Mus musculus: one gene and its partners. The protein of the gene in region 3 interacts with the protein of the main gene of each other region in a pairwise test. Links are inferred from orthologs where the notes say so. Each region holds a gene or a part of one and is shown on either strand. Other genes may lie near its edges.

Region 1 (6,846 bases), on a different chromosome or scaffold from region 3:
GGGACTGAGCAGAGGGGAAAAAAAAATAGAGGGACTATGCCACCACACTTCTGGATGTCACTCTGCCACCTAACTATTCTCTGGTCGTTTGGTCATATGCTCAAGACTCAAGGAAACATACTATTCTCCATCTTCTGGGGAATACACTGAAACACAGAGCAGGGATATAACTTGTCTAAGATCACACAGCTCCCGAGACTAATCTACTGTTTGACAATGTTCAGAGGCCAGTCCACACTCTGAGCTATTAAAAATGTTCTTGGGGTACCAAGCTTCTTCCAGAGAGAGCTTGCGACACAGGATTTCAGACTCAACCTCAGAATGAGTGGCAGGCCATGAGAAAGGAAGTGAGGGGAAGTGACAGAAGGAAGGCTAGTGACAAAGCCTAATACAGAGGGGGCAGGTTGGTGGGAGCCAGATGGCCAGGACTGGGGTCACCAGAAAATGATGTAGGGACACAGATTCCTGTAGTTCCATCTCAGTAACAGAGAACAAAGAGGATGGGGGAGCCACAGCCTGGGGGTCAGGGCCACCATTTCTACAAAGACCTTTCCTGGAGGCTGAACAGCCCTGACAATACCATATGGCCCACCAGCCTTAAAACATTACCTTCCTAGGGAAGATTTGTGGCAATGCCCTGGAAAAACCAGACAAAGGGGCACCTGGGACCCCAGCAAGCCACCTCACCCCTCAGACCCAATGGAAAATACACTTCTCTCCTGTATAGTGCCCTGCTACACTGCCATGAACACATACCAACAGAGGGAACCTTTGGTACTGTCTAAAGCCACCCACAGGCCTGGCTCAGGAACTCTGGGACAGCTAAGTGCAGGAATGACCCAAGGACTGTGACAACACTACGGCAGACGGCCCAGGGCTTGTTCACCACTGCCCTCCTGCTGGGCGCCACTTCACCTCGGTATGGTCACTATATACGTAGTACAACACGTGAATGAAGATGTCCGGGGAGATGTCATGCAGGGTGACAACTGGGGGATCTCCAGAGGCTGCAGGCTCCTCACTCTCTTGAAAGTGGTCATCCAGAAGGGCCCGGAAGTAGTCACTGCGGCCACAGAAGAAAGCCTGAGGAAGCAAGGTCACAAAGGACCAGGGCTCGAATCTGCCCCAAGGGGCCAGCCCAGGGCTTGAGCAGCGCGGCCAGGGGTGGGACAGGTACCTTGTAGCAGAGGAAGCTGGAGTCAGCCACTCGGAAGCAGATATCGGGGCAGCTGCTGAAGCCATCGGGACATGGGAAGGGCAGCTCTCCAAGGTCACCCTGGTATAGGAAAGAGACGACTCAGAGCAAAGCCGTTCATGAAAGGGAAGTAGCTTCTAGGTTGGCCTAGGAAGGGAACCCAGCTCTGTGGAACCTGCCCCTCACAGCCCCATCCCTAGACACCCATCATGCCCACCAAGCTGGCATGCCCTTCAATACCCGCAGCTCAGATGGCAGGGCACAGTCAGCTAGCAGGGCCATATCTGCCCGTAACCGGGGATCTGCTGGAGGAGGTTCAATAGTCAGCACCTTCACACACGTGCCAGGCTTGGAAGCCACTGGGGGGAGAAGACGGCAGGGACTTAGAGAGGTGGACCAGAGCTGCAGGCTGTAACCCAAGACCTTGGACTGAGACCCTGTACACACCAAATTCAGACACCTTCTCGCACTTAGCCTCCAGGTCATCCAGCAGGTCCCACAGCTGGCACTGCTTGGCCAGGCGCTCACAGTCACTCACGTGTTCTACACCGATGTCCAAGCGGCCTGGGGGATTGAGGAGGCTGAGTCAGGACCTGAGAGTGACTCCTACTCAATACCTTGGTTTTCTCATCCGGAAGGACCTAAGACCTGCTCAATTTGTAGATGGGACCTGTCCTCTCCAAACAGGTTAAGTCATGCTGGGCACACTCCTCCTCCCCAAAGGTGACATCAGCTCTGGGCCACCCTGGGTGTGCTGCTGTCCCAGCCCACGGGGTCGGTCAGTCACCTGTATACAGGTACTGCAGTAGAGCCCCAAAGGCCACCGGGTTGATCTGCAGGCAGAGTAGAAAGGGAAGGTCAGAGGCTACCACCCAGCATGAACTATCTGTTCTCCCAGAAACTGGCACTCTCTCCCAAGGCAGATGGACACACCAGGGGGTGCCTGAGAACCACGACGCTCTTGCCCTTCCACTTGGTGTCCAGCATGTTGGCGAAGTAGGTACTGCGAGCACCGAGGATACAGCGATGGGCCCGGAACGGCTTTCCGTGTACCACAAAGACCACATCGCTGTGGATGCCCTGTTCCAGAAGCCTGGGAAAAGCCAGGAAAGGTTGCATCATCCTGACAACTGCTGGCGCACCAGGACCACTCAGCAAACCCACCCACCAGAACCCACTGAGAGTGCCCAGCAACCCCAGCAGTACTGCAAGCTCCACCCCCAGCTCACCGCTGCAGGAAATCGTCATAGTAATCCCGCCTCCTGCAGGACGCAGTGACCTGTTTGTAGTCTCTCAGTGCACGGCGAATAGGGTCGCTTAGCGCTCCGTAGAGACACCGCTCTCCATCAAAGGTGTTGGCCTCACAGCGGGCTCCTACAAAGCAATGCTCATCAGTCAGAGTCAAGGGAACACCTAGTCTGGGGAGATCTCTGGCCTCCCCAGCTCCCCAGAGGCCCTTCCTTGCCACAGAGGCCCAGGCAACCCTTCGGTCCTTGGGAAGGCCAAGGCATACAATCTGTGCACTTAGATGTAGGCATACTCATGAATACACATGTAAATATTGGACTATATGCAGTTAAGGCCAGACTGAGGGGCTGGCCCTGTAAATAGCCATCTTGGTGACTAGCAGATCCCTGCCCCAACTGAACCTAGTGGAGCCCATGCATAGTTTATTATATGACAGCCGGCATTATTACAAAACAGAACCAAGGGTGACTATGGCAGTGGCAGCCACATGGGGAGAACTGTGAAGTGAGGTGGCTAAGCACAGGGACTTGAAAGAAGCGGGAGATGCATAGATCTAGGAAGGAACTCCAGTCTAAGCAGGAAGTACTGCAACTGAGAAGACCCTGAGGTAGGAGATGGGTAGGTCTAGTGGGGCAGCCAGCAGGTGGGAGACCCAAGGAAGGCAAAGTGAGAGGAGGTCAGAGTGGGTCTCACAATGTAGCCCTGACTAGCTTTGAACTTAAGATAATCCCTGTCTCGACTTTTCTCTCTCCCAATAATTTAATTGCAGGTGTGGGCAACCATGCCCACGTGCTTTTATCCCAAACACTCCCATCAGCTTTGCTGTGGAAAGATCCTCCTGCCTGCAAATATGGAGATCAGAGAGTCAGTTTAGCAGACCAATGGTGGTACAGTACAGGAGACAGCCCCAGAACTGGCCTGGGTGTCAAGGGTAACGTGAGAAAGTGGATAGAGGGTTAGAGAGTACTATGTGTTGACTTTAGGGAGTTAACAAGAAATCAAGGGTGCATACAAACATGGAGCAAGGTCTCAGAGCTTACAGGCAGACCCTGACCCTCTCTCACCATTAGCCAACAGGTAGCGCACCAACTCCTCATGCCCACAGAGGCAGGCATAGTACCTAGGAAAGGGGGAAGCTGTCAGTAGGGTAGGCCCACCCTGCCCACCCAGCTACCCCACCGCTCACACTCACAAAGGGGTGCTGTCCCACTTATCCCGCACGTTCACCTCCACGTCTCGCTGCTCCAGCAGGTACCTGGGCAGGAAGTTCAAAGCCTGGGTCAGAATTGCTTCTCATCTGGGAGAGAGACAACCAGGAAGGGGAAGGAGGCCACATCTCTCTGGGCTAGGGAATGCCTCTGAGAAGGGTAAGGCCTGGGACTACACAGGTCTGCAAGGGTCTGCAACTGTGAGTTGGGTGATGGCTTCATGGACAGAGGCCAAGCCCCAGGTTCAGAAGGCTGAGAATTTGGTCTTTTAATATCTGGGAGAGAGAAGGTGATGGGGCCCCTAATTCAGCCTGGGGAGCCAATGGCAGGGAAGTCAGAAGAAAGCTGATGCAGGCACTGGGGGCGGGGAAGGAGGGGAACAGAACAGATCTATGGAAGAAGTGGAAAAAACAATTGATAAAATGTTGAGGAGAAGAGGTCATGAACCAGAAAGCGATCACTGGGACATGGCAGCCCAAGGAGGCTATCTGAGGCAAGACCTGAACTCTCAGAGCTGCATTCAAATTGAGGGACGGATCATTAACTCTGAGGTGGCATCTGGTGTCGGAGAGAGCTGCAGCTTGGTCACATCTGTTGAGGACCAGGGGACTTGGAAGGAAGGGCCATGGGAGAAAGGAGTCTATCAAAGAAAAGGGTCAGGATCCTTCTCTTCCCTGCCTGCCCACGGAGATCACGGTCTCGGCGCCAGGCTGGTAACTGGCTGCACCAGCGGCGCCTGCGCCTCTTGGAACCTCCACGGAGAGGAGTCGTTTCCCTGCACCGAGCTAAGTAAGGGACCTAGAGCCCGATCTCCCTGACTCGGTCAGCTTCGGGAGCCCCACGGCGCCCAACCCCACACCCGTGCCCGATAAGCCCTGCGGACGCCTGCCCGCCTCCTGCACTTCAGGTTCTCACCGCACACGGCCCACGTCCCCTTTCCTGCAGCTGGCAAACAAGTCGCTGGTATCCATGGCGAAAGAGACTGGACCCCCGGCCGAGTGATCTCGGGAGTCGTCTGTGCCCGGCCGGATGTAAACACTCACCGCCCCGCCCCTCGCGGCACGGCCTAGCTATGCCCGCCTGCGACTCCGCAGCGGCGCCTGCCGCCCGGAGGACCGTCCGGCCCGAACCCCGCCCTCGCATCCAGAAGGCCGCTCCCCAAGGCCGCACCCAGTAACCTTAACCACGCCCACTTAGCCTCTGGGGACTTCTAGCCTTCACCCCGCCCACCCGTCTAGAGGACAACTCAATTCCCCCAGGTTCCGCCCACTCGCCCGAAGAATAGCTCACTACCAAGACCCCGCCTCCTCAGAAGAGCTTCACCGGAAGAGCAGTTCGCTGCAGGCCCCGCCCACATTTCTTGGGATCCGTTCTGAAAACAGCACCTCCCACAGGCTTGGAACGCTTGTCAGTCCTGAGTCTAGCTCGGTTCAGGTCCCGCACATCAGGCCGAGGCCTCGCCCACCAGGACTTTTCCCAGCCTACTTCAGGCTCAGCCCACCCGGCCTGGTTCCACCCAGATGACCTTATACTCCCTACCCTCCGCCCACATATCCCTAACCACGCCCACAAACTCCATGAAATTCCCAGCCCACCCGTCCTTGGCCACGCCCAGCCAGCCTCCCTTGCCCCACCTACTCCTCCAGGCCCATCCCACCCACTCCCCGGAGTGCAGCCCTCGGAAGGCAAAAAACAGGCGTGGAGGCGGAGCGGCCCGCGCGTCTTAGCGGCTTTAATGGAGTCCTGGCGCGGGGAGCGCGCTGGCCTCGGGCAAGCGCTCGGGGCCGGGCAGGGCGGGGTGGGAGCTGCGCCGCGGTCGCCTGCTGCGGTGGGGAAGCATAGTGGTCCGCGTGGAGGACCGGGAGGGGCGCGGGGCCGTGGCGTCGGGCAGTCTCGCGCCCGTGGCCCGGCGCTCACAGGTGAGTGTCCTCCTCGAACACGTCCGAGTCCTCAGGGTCGCGTTTGCTGCCCATGAGCGCGCTCCAGCTGCTCGGGCCGTTGATGGCCCCACCGTTCAGGCTGGGCTGCTTCTCCTGCATCTCCGACTGGCTGTCGCTGGCCACGTCCAGCGTGGGATTGTCGTGGCAGCCGTTCTCCACGAAGCGCAGCTCCTCACCGTGCGACTGCAGCAGCAGGAGAGAGCGCTAGGCGCGCACAGTGGTTGGCCACGCCAAGCCCCCAGGGTACTACTCCCTTGGGGCCCAGGATACAAGTGCCTGCAACTCAAACCTAAACCTCTGCAGGTAAACCCTGTGACCCCCTTGGTGTCACTTGATCCCTTCCAACAGCGCATTATACATGAGACAGCCCACTCAAAGCATACGAGATAGGGCAGAATGTGCAGGGCCTGCCCCCTTTCTCTTGTGCAGGTTGCAGGAGCCTTTGGCTTCTAGGACTGAGGGGAGCAGCTGCTCTCAAGCCTTGCAGAATGGGGCACTGGGGTTAGGAAGAGCTGGAGGAGAGGAGGGATCCCTTGGTGAGACTTAACTCCCCCTCACTGTGTATCTCCTCGAAGACCAGGCTCAGAGAGGGTAGATGGTGGCACTGAGCACAACTGAGTTGGTACAGGTTTCTAGGTGAGGCTCTTGGGTAGCACTGGGTGATACTAGCCACACTCTGCCCTACAGTCCTAAGCCCTCCCTGGCCTACTCACCACGTGTTTGAGCTTGGGCATCCGGCGCTGCCAACAATTGTAGAGTAGGCCAAGCACAATGATGATGAAGCAGATGACACCAATGATCACCAGCACTACAAAGAGCGTCCCGTAGTCACTGCGCACCTGGGTGGCTCGTGCCTGGCAGCTGCTGGTGGTGGAGTAGTTCTGGATGCCAATCTAAGAGTGGGGGTATCAGGAAAGCCCTAAGAGCTAACATTCCAAGGGTGAGTTAGAGCCCCTGACAGCCCTGGGGCCTGGACCTGCATAGAGGGGCATACCATTCTGTCCCTACTGGTTCATCCAAGAACACTTCCAAGCCTCTCCCAGGGTCCACATTCTTGGCTCCTTCACTTCCTCACTGTGTTTCTACACCAACACAACTTTGAATGCACCAATTCTGGCCCTGCACATCACTGAGACGTGATGACAGTCACGGCCCAAATAGATGGGGCCCCACCCCTGTCCCCATCAGTTTCACAAAGCAACATGGCATCTGGGAGACTTGAGTTCACCAAAGGCAGAGGCCTGAAGCAAGCTTC
Region 2 (6,846 bases), on a different chromosome or scaffold from region 3:
GGGGCCATTTGGGTCAGCCACTCCCCAGAGTCCCCGGTGCCTGCAGGGAAGAGCTGAAGTGGGCTACAGAGTGAGCAAAGGGAGCCGCTGGCTGCTCAGCTCAGCTGCTCTGGGCCACTGGGATCACCTCACAGCAGCACAGAAACAAAACCTGCTTTTTTTTTTTTTTTTTTTTTTTTAATCAGATGGATTTCACTCTAGGCTTGCTGAGAACAGGGTAGAGCTTTAAAATGTGTGTCTGTGGTGCTGAGAAATGCCCAGGGTGCACAGGCCCCCTTCAGGGGGGCTTCTAAGAATCCTGGCCATATTCTTTGTGTCCAACTCCTTCTCCCACTTCAGAGACCAGTCCAGTTCTTAACTATTCAGCTTACCCTTCCCAGAAGCCTTAGGGAGCTCACATTTCTAATTCACCCAGCATGACTGTTGATGGTCCTTGGTTTTGTTTTGTTTTGGTTTGGTTTGGTTTTTTCAGTCAAGGATCTAGTGAGCATGGTCTGAAGGGGTGGGAATTTGGGGGCAGTAGGGGTACCTGGCAGAAGTCAAATAACATGACCCCCCCCCCCACTTCAAAGAAATGACAGACAAGCAGGAGACAGAGATGATGGAAAACACCAAAGGCTGTCACCGGGCTACTCTGCTTGTCTAGGAGGACAGAAGAGGGACCGGATGCAGGAGAACATCTCTAAGGGCTCATCAACAAACCCCTTCCAACTCTAGGCTGAGCTGGTACCCAAGAGGGTGGCAAGTGAGGAGGAAGGTGGGTCAGCTGATGGGCAATGATGAGAGAGAAAGGGGATTGTGTTCATTATGTGCTTTTATACTCTATATTGGATGCCCTGACTTCTAGAGCCTGGGAGGTCCTTTGTAGCCTAGCCAGCCAGTTCTAGAGCTAGCAAAGGAGCTACCTGCAAGTGGACCTCCTTTTCCACACTCACACACCTCTCTACCATTTCCTATACCAATCACCCAAGAGTCAGGTATCAAACGACCGGAATACCTCCACCTCTATGTACTGGCTGACTCCCGCTCTTCTCTCTTGGGGTGCATTTACCCTCCTTGGGATCTCTATCAAGCCACCTTGCCAGTGGCATCTTCTCCTGATCTGTTGGTCTCTCCATAGCTCAACAATGATAAAACCTTTGTAGACACTGCTCACTTCAGCTTGGAACAGAGGCTTTCCCATGTGTCTTAGGGAAGCCACAGAGTACAATTAAGGAACCAAGGAACTGTCAATCCTAAGTTCCAGACCTACCCTCTTTTTTTTTTTTTTTTCCTAGTTGCATAACTTTGTGCAAGTTGCGTAACTTCTCAGGGCATCCCTTTCTTGCATATAACAGGTTCGGCTTGCTATATGTACATCTGGGAAAAATTAAATGAGATATATATGAAAGAGCTTTCCAAACTACTAAGATACTGTAATTTCCTCTCTTGGAACATTGAAAAATCCTTGGCTATTGGAAGCATCTTATAAACGTGTTTTGGGTCTACACTGGGCTTAGAATATGACTGGAGCCCAGGGAAGTACCATTAACCGATGCTCAAATTCAAAGATGTAAATGCCTCTCCCATCGTCTCCCTTCCCATCTCCAGCCTCACCTCCCTGGTAGAACTCTCCACAAATGGCCCCCCAAACATGGCAGCCATCCAGTCACAGCTGGAAATCAGCAGGGGCTTATGGGCGCTGATGGTCCCATCATCCAGGATGAAGGTCACATCTGTCCAGGAGAAGAGGCATCGTGTAAGGACACAGTGGATATGCTGGAGAATCGGCCCCAAGCAGTCACAGGGCCCTGACTACCCACCTGCCTTCTGGAGCCATGTGATATGAGTAACAGGCTGCAGATCATCAAGCTATTAGCTTGAGAGCAGGACAGCCATATCTTCATGGCAATTCCGAATAATAAGGGGATAACCTAGACCCCTCAAAATTTTTCCTGGAGAGAACCCCTTCTTCTAAGTGTGTCCCATACCTGAAAAGGTGCCCTTTGCCAAACACTCCTTAACCCGGTTGGTCCGGCGTACATGGAAGGCCTTGGTGATCTCCTGATTCATGAAGGCTTCGTTGTTGAGAATGTTGGCCACCATCATTCGTAGATCAAAGACCTCTAGCAGCTCGGCAATGTGAGCAATGTGCATGAGGTCCCGCTCATTCTCACCTAGCTCCCCTGTGTACAGGTACTTGAGAACAGCCCGGAAGGGCCCCGGCTGAATGGAGTTATCCATCTTCACCACCACCATCAGCCGGGATTTGAAGGTCAGAGGATCCTCTGCCATCTCTTCCTGGATACTCACAAAAGCTCGGCTCCAGGAAGACAGCACACGTCCTCTGCCTGGCAGGTACCCTGTTCCATTACCCCGTAAGATCCCGTCACTGGTTGAAGCCCTTAGGCCAGCCGGACCAGAGCCGCCGGCCTCATCCACACTCTCACATACGTCAAAGCTGGCTGCCCGAAGCAGGAAGTCCCGCCCATGGTGGTGATGGTGATGATGGTGGTGTTGTTCAGGGTGGCTCCGGTGGTCCTCTGGGCGGGGCCCCCCTGACCCTGAGGGGCCCCCCAGCTCCCCCTCACTCAGGTCCATGAGGAATAAGTCATAGAATTTGGAGGAGGAGGTGGAGAGGTAGATTTTGTGGGCAAAGATGCGCACGCGCTCCTGCAGCACCAGGATGACATCCGCACAGAGCGGGTCTTCCAGGAGGTGGGCGGGGCACTCCTCGCTGCTGGAGGGGGGATCGGGCACCACGATGATGGGGGGCGGTGGCTTGGGGGGGAGGAAGGGTGCTTGCAGTAGAGGCCGCTGCACATTGCGCAGATGTGATTTCCAGAACTGCAGGTGGCGGCGGGAGATGAGCGCAGCCCGAATGGCATTGTCAAAGACGTCCTTGATACCAAACTGGGCCACCACACTGGTCTCGTAGTAAGGGATCCCCAGCTCTTTGGCGACTTCCCGACCCTTCTCTGGGGGGAGGATTTCATTGGGCTTGATGGGCCTGGTGAATAAAGAAGGGAGAACAAACTTGTGTTGGTAATGGTAGGAGCCTGGCCATTTTCTTCCAGGTGGGAGGATCTGCCCGCATCTGTCCTTGTCTTTTCTGCCTGGCCCTCCGGTCCTTTAGGAAAGCTTCATTTTTTCTATGTTAGACCCTACTGACTGCCCCAGTTCGAAGCAGGGGCTGCACCTCCCCCTCTGGTAACCCGCATGCAAAAGCTTCACACTGGCATTTAATCACAGACAGACAGATATCCCTTAGTATCTGAAGAGGATCAGTTCCAGGGTACACCTCAGATTCCAAATCTATGGAAACTCAAGTCCCTTGTATAAAATGTCACTGTGGGCCGGGCAGTGGTGGCTCACGCCTTTAATCCCAGCACTTGGGAGGCAGAGACAGACGGATTTCTGAGTTCGAGCCCAGCCTGGTCTACAGAGTGAGTTCCAGGACAGCCAAGCTGGCTGAGCCCACAGCTATGGAACTCATGATATGAAGAGCCAACTATATTAGCACTGCAGAATTCTAAGACCCATTCATTCATATGTGTATACACACACACACATACACACACACACACACACGTCTTCTCCTCTCTGTCTTTCCTCATGGAATACAGAACAAGACCGTCCCCATAGGGGGTATACAATGATATAGAAGGATGAATTGAGTGAGTGAGTGAGTGAATGAATGAATGAGCATGTTTGTTGTTGATTTTGATGTGAATTTGTTCCAAGTGAAAGGAGAAATATAAGGGTCAGTGGGTCTCCTTCCTGGTTGAGCAGGGAGCCACAGTGATACCCTGTCCCCATGTCCCTTCCCTCTCTCCCTGGACACCAGTACCCCTACCTAGCCAGAGGTCTCCTGGCCCTGTTAACGGCTTCCAGGTCAGCATAGCGCAGGTCCAGCTGGCAGCCCACCAGAATGACAGGAGCTCTGGGGCAGAAATGCTTGATTTCTGGGTACCACATGGTCTTGACATGGTGGAGGGAATTGGGGTTGGCGATGGAGAAACACAAAACCACCACGTCGGATCTGTGGGGGGAGAAAAGTTAGCGGCACAGAAAGCTCATGGTGGTCTCCTGGAAAAAGGAAAACATGTTGGCTTGGCCCTATCCCCCCCCCCCCCCACTACAACCTAGCCCTGCCTTAAGAACTCGTTTCCGCACGGTACATAATAATCGTGACTACAATTTACGTAGGCATTTTAAAGCACAGAGATTCGCTTGGCCACACAGCTATCTCAGGAGTTAAAAAAACGATCGCTTGGAGCTGGGGATACGGCTAAGTGGAGGGAGCGACTCCCATGCAGGCATGAGGACTTGAGTTCAGATCCCCGGTGCTCCAACATTCACGGAAAAAGCCAAGCATGGCTACAGGCATTTTTGTCCCCGCCACAGCGACAGTGGGTGGGGTGGGGTGGGGTGTGGAGTGTCAGGGGGGAGGAGGAGTAGAATCCTTGGGGCTCTCTACTCTATCCAGCAAGACCAGCCAAAATTGTATGTGCCTGGTTCAGTACAAAGCCCTGTCTCAGGCTGGAGAGATGGCTCGGTGGTTAAGAGCACCAACTGCTCTTCCGAAGGTCCTGAGTTCAAATCCCAGCAACCACATGGTGGCTCACAACCATCCATAATGAGATCTGACACCCTCTTCTGGTGCATCTGAAGACAGCTACAGTGTACTTAGATATAATAATAAATAAATCTTAAAAGAAAAAAAAAAAGCCCTGTCTCAAACAACAACAACAACCCAAAACCAAAACCAAACCAAAAACAACAACAATAACAACAACAGCAAAAACCCTAAGTTGGAGAGTAAAGAAGACATGTTTACCTCAGCCCATCAGATATACACACAGGTACAAGACACCCTCCCTGCAAATTTGCACACACATGAACATGTAAATGCCAATAAACATATCTATGTACACACACACACACACACACACACACACACACATTCCTACTTTGCCAGACCTGGTGTTACAGGCAAGCTATTTGGGAAGTCTGAGGCAGAGAACTTCTAGTTCAAGGCTGCCTGGGTGAGGTGGGCACTGGAAGATCTTATCTCAAAATATGGTTCTTCTCTTGTTTGTTTTGCTTTGCAAAGGGCTAGAGATAGATATAGCTCAGTGGTAGGGCACTTGCCTATGATGCACAAGGCCCTAGGTTCAATATCCAGCATTGAAAGAAAAAAGAAAATAAAGGAAGAAAGAACTGATCGCCAACTCACAGTGAGAAAAGCCATGCCGGCGCTGCTCAGAGTTAGTCGGTTGCAGAGCTGGGACTCTGCACCATGCCTCTGAGCCCAGAACGTCTTCCACCCCAGGGAATGCCCACCACCACCGCATCCCCTCCTCTCACTGCAAGCCCCCAAGGCCTTCCCTACCTTCCATAAGCAAAACGCCGGTCTTTGTGGTGGTCTCCGAAGGTGTCCCAGAGGCGCAGGGAGACGCTGACGTCATCTACCACATCTCGGGAGCGTTCTAGCACCTGGGCATGGTGGGGAGACAGGACAGTGGTTCTTGGGAACAGATGCCAAGAACTGATGGGGAGGACAGGACTGGTACAAGTGTCTTGTACAACCTGCTGCCCACATGAAATCACTGGCAATCTCCACGCTGAGCGGAAGCAGGGGAGACCTTAAAAGAGCACACTCCTTGCTGCAGAAGAACATGTTATTACTTTGGACTGTGATTGCAGACACGGTTCTCAGCCAAAGTCAGAATCCTAGCCACCGCCTTACCTAGTTGTGCTGGCTCGTTTCGTTTCAACGTGACACAAGCTAGAGCTATCTGAAAGGAGGGAAGCTAACTTGAGAAAACGTCTCCATGAGGTCCAGCTGCAGGTTATCTTCTTAATTAGTGACTGACTGGGGAACCTATGGTGTGTAGTGCCATCCCTGGGCTGGTGGTCGTGGGTTCTATAAGACAGCAGGCTGAGCAAGCCATGAGGAGCAAGCCAGTAAGCAGCATTCCTCCATGGCCTCAGCATCAGCTCCAGCCCTGCTTGAGTTCCTATCCTGACTCCTTTTAGTGATGGACTATGGTGTGGAAGTGTAAGCCAAACAAACCCTTACCTCTCCAACTTGCTTTTGGTCATGGTTTTTCATCCCAGCAATAGAAACAGTAACCTGAATATCACTGCAAACACAAATGGTCAGAGATACCTCCCTGGGAGTGACCTTCCCTCAGACCTCTCTCCAGAGGCTCCATCTGCTTCATCCACCTCGACCCCACCCCTAGGGGCTCTCAGGAGCTCCAGAGACACCAAGCCAGTTCAACACACATAGCACGGGGGCCCCCAACCAAGGGGCCTTGTAGTCTTACCTCCTGGCACACACGATACTGGTCAATGGCCCACACTGTGGGCACATGGGTGGCAAGCAACTGGTACTGGGTGAGGGTGGCATTGCAGGCCCGGGCACAGATGAGCCTAGTCTTGCCCACGGCGTTGTCCCCCACCACCACGCACTTGATGGTCTCTACGTTTGGCCTTTCATAATCCATGTCAGAATCCATTAATTGGGACCTGAAATGAATGGCAAGAAAGGAGCCATCAGGACAGTTCAGCATGCTCTACCCCCGAGGACCAGGGTCAGTGTAAGCAGCCCTCCTCCTCAGCTGGCTCTGTCTCTCTGTCAAGCATTGGCACTGACATAAAGAGAGAGAAGTGGGCAACTTTACAGGGGCCCTAGGAAACAGTAGCTCGTGCAGGCTGAGTGGCAATACCACCAGATGGATGGCTCCTCTCCCTCTGGTCTCCCACCATCCTGCAGCTGGGCTCCTGAACGGAGGCAGTCTGTGAGAGATTCCAGGGCAGGACCTGCTTTGGACCTGGCCCCACTTCCCCAGAGAGAGG
Region 3 (6,614 bases):
TTTAAATTGTAATGCTGCTATCACACTTCATTTGCATGAAATCCTGCACCATGCATATTAATTGTAATATAGTTATGCACACCCCTACCCCAGGAAGGGTGGGGGACTACTTTAGAAGGTAGTTTTTACTGAAATCTAATCTACTTAGAAAGATTGTGAGATTATAAATGATATGAAATTATTGTAACATTTGCCTACCAACTTAAAACCATTTGCAATTTTTAAAAGGTAACATATCCTACCTCTCTATGGTCCAAATAGAATGAAGACTTTCAGAGAGCCAATAAGGTGTCTGTGTTGTTCACTTACACAGGCAAAGTGGATTTTGTAATTATAAGTTGTGTTAAATGCACCAAATAAAGCTCCTGAATTAATACTGATAGTGTCACCTTAAATTTTTGAGGGTGAACTGTCTTGTACCTGTTTTTGTCTGAGTTTTATTACAGATTTTAACTTAGAAAGCTGAATGTTTCTAAGACTTGTAGCTACCTACCTACCTGCTAATGGCAAAGCACATCTTGAATTTATCACATCCACCACACCAGATTCTGTCACTCAGCAATCATAACAGACAAATAATCTGGAGACTCAGAAGCTTAATTTTTCACACTGCAAGAATTGTGCACATTAAAGCTTTATGCTCTATGAGCTGTACTTTATTAGAATGCTTAAACTTTACTTCATTAACTAGAAACACAGCACACACTACTTGGAGCTTCTCATATACTGTAAGTCATTTCATTGAGGCCCCCTCAGAATCGTTAGACCCAAATATTAAGGAAGAAATTACTTAAGTCTTGTTTACATATGTGCCATTTCTAAGAACATTACATGAAGCTTTGCTCAATTTCTTCTAAGAGCTAGCTTTATGACTCATTAAATTCACTGTCATTTTGTGTCCTGTACCTTTTGGAAAACTGACTTGGAATGGAAAACCATGCAATAAGGAGAAAAAAAATTAAGTGTAGATCTTAACCACTTACCTTGTGATCCTCACACTAAGAAATGTAGAGTACAGGATCCTTTAAATGGACATGTTCCAAAATAGCAGCCACCATCATTCTTGCTTCTTGCCTAGTGTTGTTATCAGCAAACATGGACCAACAAAAACATGCAGAATTCCATACCGAGATACACATCATCCACTGCTTCATGCAAATGATGTACACAATGACAGATTTAGATGGAAAACCATATATATCCACTTGCAACACAAGACGCAGACATAAACTCCAGAGTACTAGCTTAGAATCAAACCAAGGTTTAAATATTGGCTTGGCCATTTTTCAGCAGCTATCTTACATAATGGTTAAGTCAGAGGACATGACAACTAAATAACCATCAGAAAGAGCTCGCAAGTGACTGCACACAGTAAACACCTGTGTGACTTCTCAGGACTAGAAATAATTTAGTTTCACTTAGATTTTCCATTCTTATCAATAGAACATAAAATATTTACTGCATAAAGAAGTACCATATAGGGCAAAACATAATACAAATAATACAAAGGTTTTCCTTCTAAGATGAGAGAGCCTTATGCTGTGTAAAACATGGAACATGAAAACTTAGGCTACTCTCAAAAGGGCAGTAGACAGACAAGGGCAAGATATTGTATTATTTGATCAAAGTGGATATTCAAAATTAACCTGAAAAGGTCATTGTGTAGACTAAATATACTAAAATTTAGACCCAAATAGAGAAATTAAGGTGTCAGTAAGGGTGCTAGTTTCTGGAAATGTACACATTATCTTTAGAGCATTGGCTCTTACCTAAGCCTTTCTGTTTGTCCTGCATACTGAGGAAACAAACGTCAGCGCTACTTCACTGTTCTTGAGAATCTCACTGCAAAGGCGTATTAGTATCTTCCAGATCTTGAACCAGTGCCTTCCTGCCCTGTGCTCACAATGCCCCACACATGCATCCCTTTAATTCCATTTGTAGTTCACTGACATAAAGAATCCTTGGAATTACAACCATATTTTTTATTTTGTGAAGCTGTTTCCTAATTGGAATAAATTTTCAATATTTAAATGACAAATAAAAAAATGCTGTCCCACAAAGAATGACAGCAAAGAATAACTTAACAATTAATGACATCATTTTTTATAGCTGGAAAAATTATCCATCTTTCCTAAAATTCAAGTCACAAAAAAGAATCTCATCACATTATTCTTTTAAAACATTTAGAGGATAAAAATGTCAATGACCTATTGCTGAGAAATACCAAATGCATCACATGAATTTTGTAAGGTAGCAGAGCCAGCATTGCCCAACAAATACATTTACTTTAACTCAGAAGCAAGCATCTACCAGAACAATTAGCAAACCTTTATGTCCCTACATATACATTAGACCTAATCTGTACAGCTGAGCTGTCTTCACTTCCAAACTGTTAAAAGTAGCTTCCTTCGTAAAAATTCTATTTACACCAGAAAGCAATCCATCAGTGTCCCACCGTACCTGTGCAAGCACAGCAAGGTGCACCGAGAACCTGTCCGTACTGCCCACACCTTTACTGTCTCATGGAAAGGTGGAGAACATGTAGAGATTAAGATCCTAAGACTTAAAATTAACAGTACATATAAAAGCAAATTTAAATGCAATAAAAGCAAGTCTAAAAGGAAAATTATAATCCAAGACGCATGGGGAAAATATTTATGTGGAGCTTTTAATCCATATTAGAATTCAGTAATTGTAACTTCATATATTTAACAGAAACCATCTTCTGAGACATACATTCTAATAAGTATATCAACAGTATTGATATTCAATGGAGAGTTGGTTACTTGAATTCAGTAACATTTCATTTTTTTGACAGAAATCTAGTGGTTTTCCCCAATTACATATCTAAAACATTATCTTGAAAGAAAAGAAAAAGGAACAAAATTAAATAAAATGGAAGATAAAAATACTCTGAAGTTAAAGCAAACTATAATCCTTGGCAGATCAATCAGGTAGAAGACTTCAGTGATAGTTGGAAGCACAGAGGAACGGACACACAAATCTTCAGCACAAAGCACATCTTTGAAAACATGAAAAGGACTCTTCAGAGGACAATGGATAGCTAAATATCCACGTTTGAAAAATATTGCTTAATCACTTTCTAAAACACAGCTGCAAGAACTGAAGAATTCCTTCAAACTATCAAGGTACTCTATTTATTGCATCTTTAGATTGCATTTTGAAACAATTAATGGTGTACCACAGCTTCACCAAAATATATATTTAAACTGTGTGTGGGGGGATGGGGGATATATTTATAAACAAATGGTAGAATGGATGGATGTGCTTTTCAAAGGAACTAAATTAAATAGAACCAGCTGCCACCTTTGTGCTCTGACATACTTGAGTTAGTGTGTATGTGAATACTAAATTTATTTATTTTGTCTACAATAAATGAAATAAAAACACCACCCTATACAATCCACTGTTAGCAGTAAGTACAACAGCAAAAAAATTATTGTACAATTTATACATACTAAAATATTTTCTTTCTCTAGAAATAACTCAGAGCAAAACCTAATAATCTTAGAACTTAATTTGGAAAACCTCAGATTACAATAGAGAAAAACAAGTCAGGGTATGTATTGATGTCCAAATAAAGGTCCTTGGTCATAAGGCTGTGAGACTAGGAAGTGCAAGTGGTAGGATAAAGCATGCGCCAATTGTATGCCTGGGTCTTTGTATATGTATCAAACCTTTAAACAATACCAGCGAAGGAAATGTCACAAGCAGAGCAAGATAACTGGGAATTTTGCATCTCTTTTGCCATTTTTGCTACCCAACTTACACAATGCGCAAAGTGCTAATAAGCAACACTACAGAAACACATTTACATCAACACTGAAGACCTGGGGAAATGAAATCCAACAATTTTATTTTAATGAGCTGTGTTTTCTAAATTTGTTTTATTTTTTTCCTGTTTTCATACAATATTGAAAACAAAACGCGGCACATTCACATTTTCCCGAGGAACTGTAAAGATGATCTCTACAGGGATAACGTTGGAAAGCCTGAAGCTCAATCAACTGATGTTGAAAACTCTCAGAGGGAGTAGAGGCTTGATCTGAGTGGTCTATAACACGTACTGCAATTTAACAGAAGAGATGGTCGTCTTAATAGTATGATTTAAAAGAACTTCCCAGTCCATGCGAAGAGTACAGTCCAAGAATAAATCAAATTTCTGAATGCATTTTATGCTACATATGTGTATACTTTGCGATCCTCAGGTGTTCGTGCCAAATATTCTCTCTCAATAAGTCCTTCAATACGTTTCTTAATAACAACTGGACTTGGTAAGAATCGAGCCTTCAGTTGCTGAGTTACCTAAAAAGAAAAAGTAAAGTCTTAACTAAAACACTTCCACATAGACAAACAAAAATCCCTATCTTTTTACTAGAGCCGACATGCCATTTAAAGCTGAAAAATTTAGTGACCTGATTTAAAAAAAGTTAGATGCACCAAGCATGGTGCCTAATACCTATAATCTTAGTACTTGGGGATGTGAGGTAAGAACTAGACAAGAAAAAGTACAAAAATTTTAAAGCTTTTACTTGAAAATTTAATGGATGTTTAAAAACATACTTCTTTGTGTCAAAATATGGATGCTAACGAGGATTAGTTAGATTTCAGTATTCTGAATACATACCAGAATATAGTTTAATCATGTTGATGATATTATTAACTTCTGGGTTACCTTCCCAGTTCACAGAACCTGGTAGGATAGCGTGTTTATAAGCAAAAGTCCTGGTTCCAGACTGCCTGGGTTTAAATTCCTGATTCATCTCAGTCCAGCTCTGGGATCTCAGAGATGAGTTAACAGATAAAATCCTTTACAGCAATGGCACCCAATACTAAGAGCAACTTCTGGCATTCTTTGCTCTAGTCACAGTCAGATCTTAAGTATGGTTCTACCAGTAAAACGTTCACTGTAGCAGCCAGTCTGTTAATCACAATATTTATCTACACACACACACACACACACACACACACACACACACACACACACACACACGGAGACAGAGACAGATTTTTAACTGCAAGGTAGGCTGTTTCATTTTACAAAGGAAATAAAGTTGGTATTAACAATTAGTGACAGAACCAGAGGGAATCTAAACCTTTGTCCTCAAAGCTCATGGTCATTTCAATAATCCACCCTGACTCATCATTCATCCTATGAGCCAGATTTTCTTTTACTCTTGTTAATCAAGGCTATTTTCCAACATGCAATTATTGGAAATACTTTGAAATGTCAAATTTTAGCACTTAACTATGCCAACTACAATCTATCATCCTTCTACAATTACCATTCTAGAACCAAAAACCTTGCTCAACAACAAAAATCTTGCTACCACCCACTTGAAACTGCCAATCCTTAACTCTATCTTACAGACTGTGAACAGATTTTACATTTATTCTCCTTCCTTGCAAGGTCTAAATTGTAATTAACTCTCAAAAACATCAACTCTGGATTTGAACACATTTCATAATCACCTAAGCAGAGCCTGTGAGAGGCCAGATTGCTGACTCTAGAATTTCTGATTCAGTTAAGTCTGGGTGGTCCAGGAACCTCTACTTCTAAGACTTGTGACATTAGCACAGCTGGTTCAGAAAGAACCCCTTTAAAAGGGTTGGTTTCTTCTCAGTGTCATTCATTAAGCATTCTTATTGCTCCCAAATATGGGCTCTTTCTTACTGCTTTTTTTGTTGTTGTTATTTCCTATGGTACTCCTGAGCAACTTAATATAGACTCAGTTCTGACTGTATTTCCATACAAAGTGAGTTCCCAATTCAACATCTGGCCTTCTCAATTTTTTACAGACATTTAGTGCCACAATCGACTGCCCATGCATATGTCAGTATATAGTAAAGTCAACTGTCCATTTATTAATTAAGATATGGCCCACACAAGCACGTATTCTCTCTTACTCGGTAGTTAAGGGCTCAACTTCTGTCTACTCATTCAAGCCAGAAACTCAGGAGGCTAAACCCATCCTTCTCAATCGCCATCATAGGTTAATGTACTGTCAGCTCTACTTCTCAAGACTTAACTATGTTAACCGCTTCTCATGAGTATTGATTCCCTAAGTTACGTTAAGAAGCTCTTAAAAAAAAGTACTAATATTCAGAAATACAAGTCTTTTGTTTATAAAGGTATATTGATATGCAGGTGTTTATGTACAGTATTTTGCTCTTGGTGAGCAGTGCTGTGTGACAATGAGTTTGACCCAAGCTTCAAGTGTCCTTACCTCTGCTACTAAAACATTGTGCTGCATCTTCTTCCTAGACTTCATTATTCGCACTATAGCAGCTTCTATCTCATGTTTTCTGTCATCATCTACTTTCTGTCTTGTTTCTTTCCTTTCTGGGTCGGATTCACCTTGTTTGGCTGCAACTAAATAGAAATAAAACCATTTATCATAAAAGTGATTAAAAATTTGGCTTATAATAAAATGTAAAATAATTTAGTATTATTTAGAGGGAAAAAAATCCATCTCAATTAGAGTATGCACACAATTAAACACACAATAAGCAAACATGCTCACTTCAATTAAGAATTATTCTTTTGCATAATTACAAGTTAAGTTTCAGAGGGGAAAAATAAAGTCCTTTTA

Evidence for each region.
Region 1: the proteins of Cul3 (region 3) and Abtb1 interact in binary tests that used the Homo sapiens proteins (3 or more experiments, as listed by UniProt). The two-hybrid records come from large-scale screens. The link is inferred for Mus musculus from reciprocal best matches to the Homo sapiens genes CUL3 and ABTB1.
Region 2: the proteins of Cul3 (region 3) and Rhobtb2 interact in a two-hybrid assay, tested with the Homo sapiens proteins (2 studies listed by BioGRID). The link is inferred for Mus musculus from reciprocal best matches to the Homo sapiens genes CUL3 and RHOBTB2.

Annotation. Positions count from the first base shown.
Region 1 is NC_000072.6:88,837,203-88,844,048, forward strand, and holds the start of Abtb1 (ankyrin repeat and BTB/POZ domain-containing protein 1), read right to left. Parts: upstream 4,734-6,846; 5' UTR 4,623-4,733; coding exon 4,567-4,622; intron 3,699-4,566; coding exon 3,636-3,698; intron 3,564-3,635; coding exon 3,508-3,563; intron 2,570-3,507; coding exon 2,425-2,569; intron 2,289-2,424; coding exon 2,129-2,288; intron 2,029-2,128; coding exon 1,983-2,028; intron 1,760-1,982; coding exon 1,643-1,759; intron 1,555-1,642; coding exon 1,436-1,554; intron 1,277-1,435; coding exon 1,178-1,276; intron 1,084-1,177; coding exon 916-1,083; intron 1-915. Other genes in the region: Podxl2 (podocalyxin-like protein 2), read right to left, coding at 5,565-5,795, 6,305-6,484. UniProt on the Homo sapiens protein: May act as a mediator of the PTEN growth-suppressive signaling pathway. May play a role in developmental processes.
Region 2 is NC_000080.6:69,794,304-69,801,149, forward strand, and holds part of Rhobtb2 (rho-related BTB domain-containing protein 2), read right to left. Parts: exon of another isoform or gene 6,717-6,846; intron 6,517-6,716; coding exon of another isoform or gene 6,507-6,516; coding exon 6,315-6,506; intron 5,479-6,314; coding exon 5,375-5,478; intron 4,022-5,374; coding exon 3,836-4,021; intron 2,990-3,835; coding exon 1,971-2,989; intron 1,716-1,970; coding exon 1,597-1,715; intron 1-1,596. UniProt on the Homo sapiens protein: Regulator of cell proliferation and apoptosis. It likely functions as a substrate-adapter that recruits key substrates, e.g. MSI2, to CUL3-based ubiquitin ligase complexes for degradation. Required for MSI2 ubiquitination and degradation.
Region 3 is NC_000067.6:80,262,962-80,269,575, forward strand, and holds the end of Cul3 (cullin-3), read right to left. Parts: intron 6,395-6,614; coding exon 6,249-6,394; intron 4,327-6,248; coding exon 4,195-4,326; 3' UTR 1,962-4,194; downstream 1-1,961. UniProt on the Homo sapiens protein: Core component of multiple cullin-RING-based BCR (BTB-CUL3-RBX1) E3 ubiquitin-protein ligase complexes which mediate the ubiquitination and subsequent proteasomal degradation of target proteins.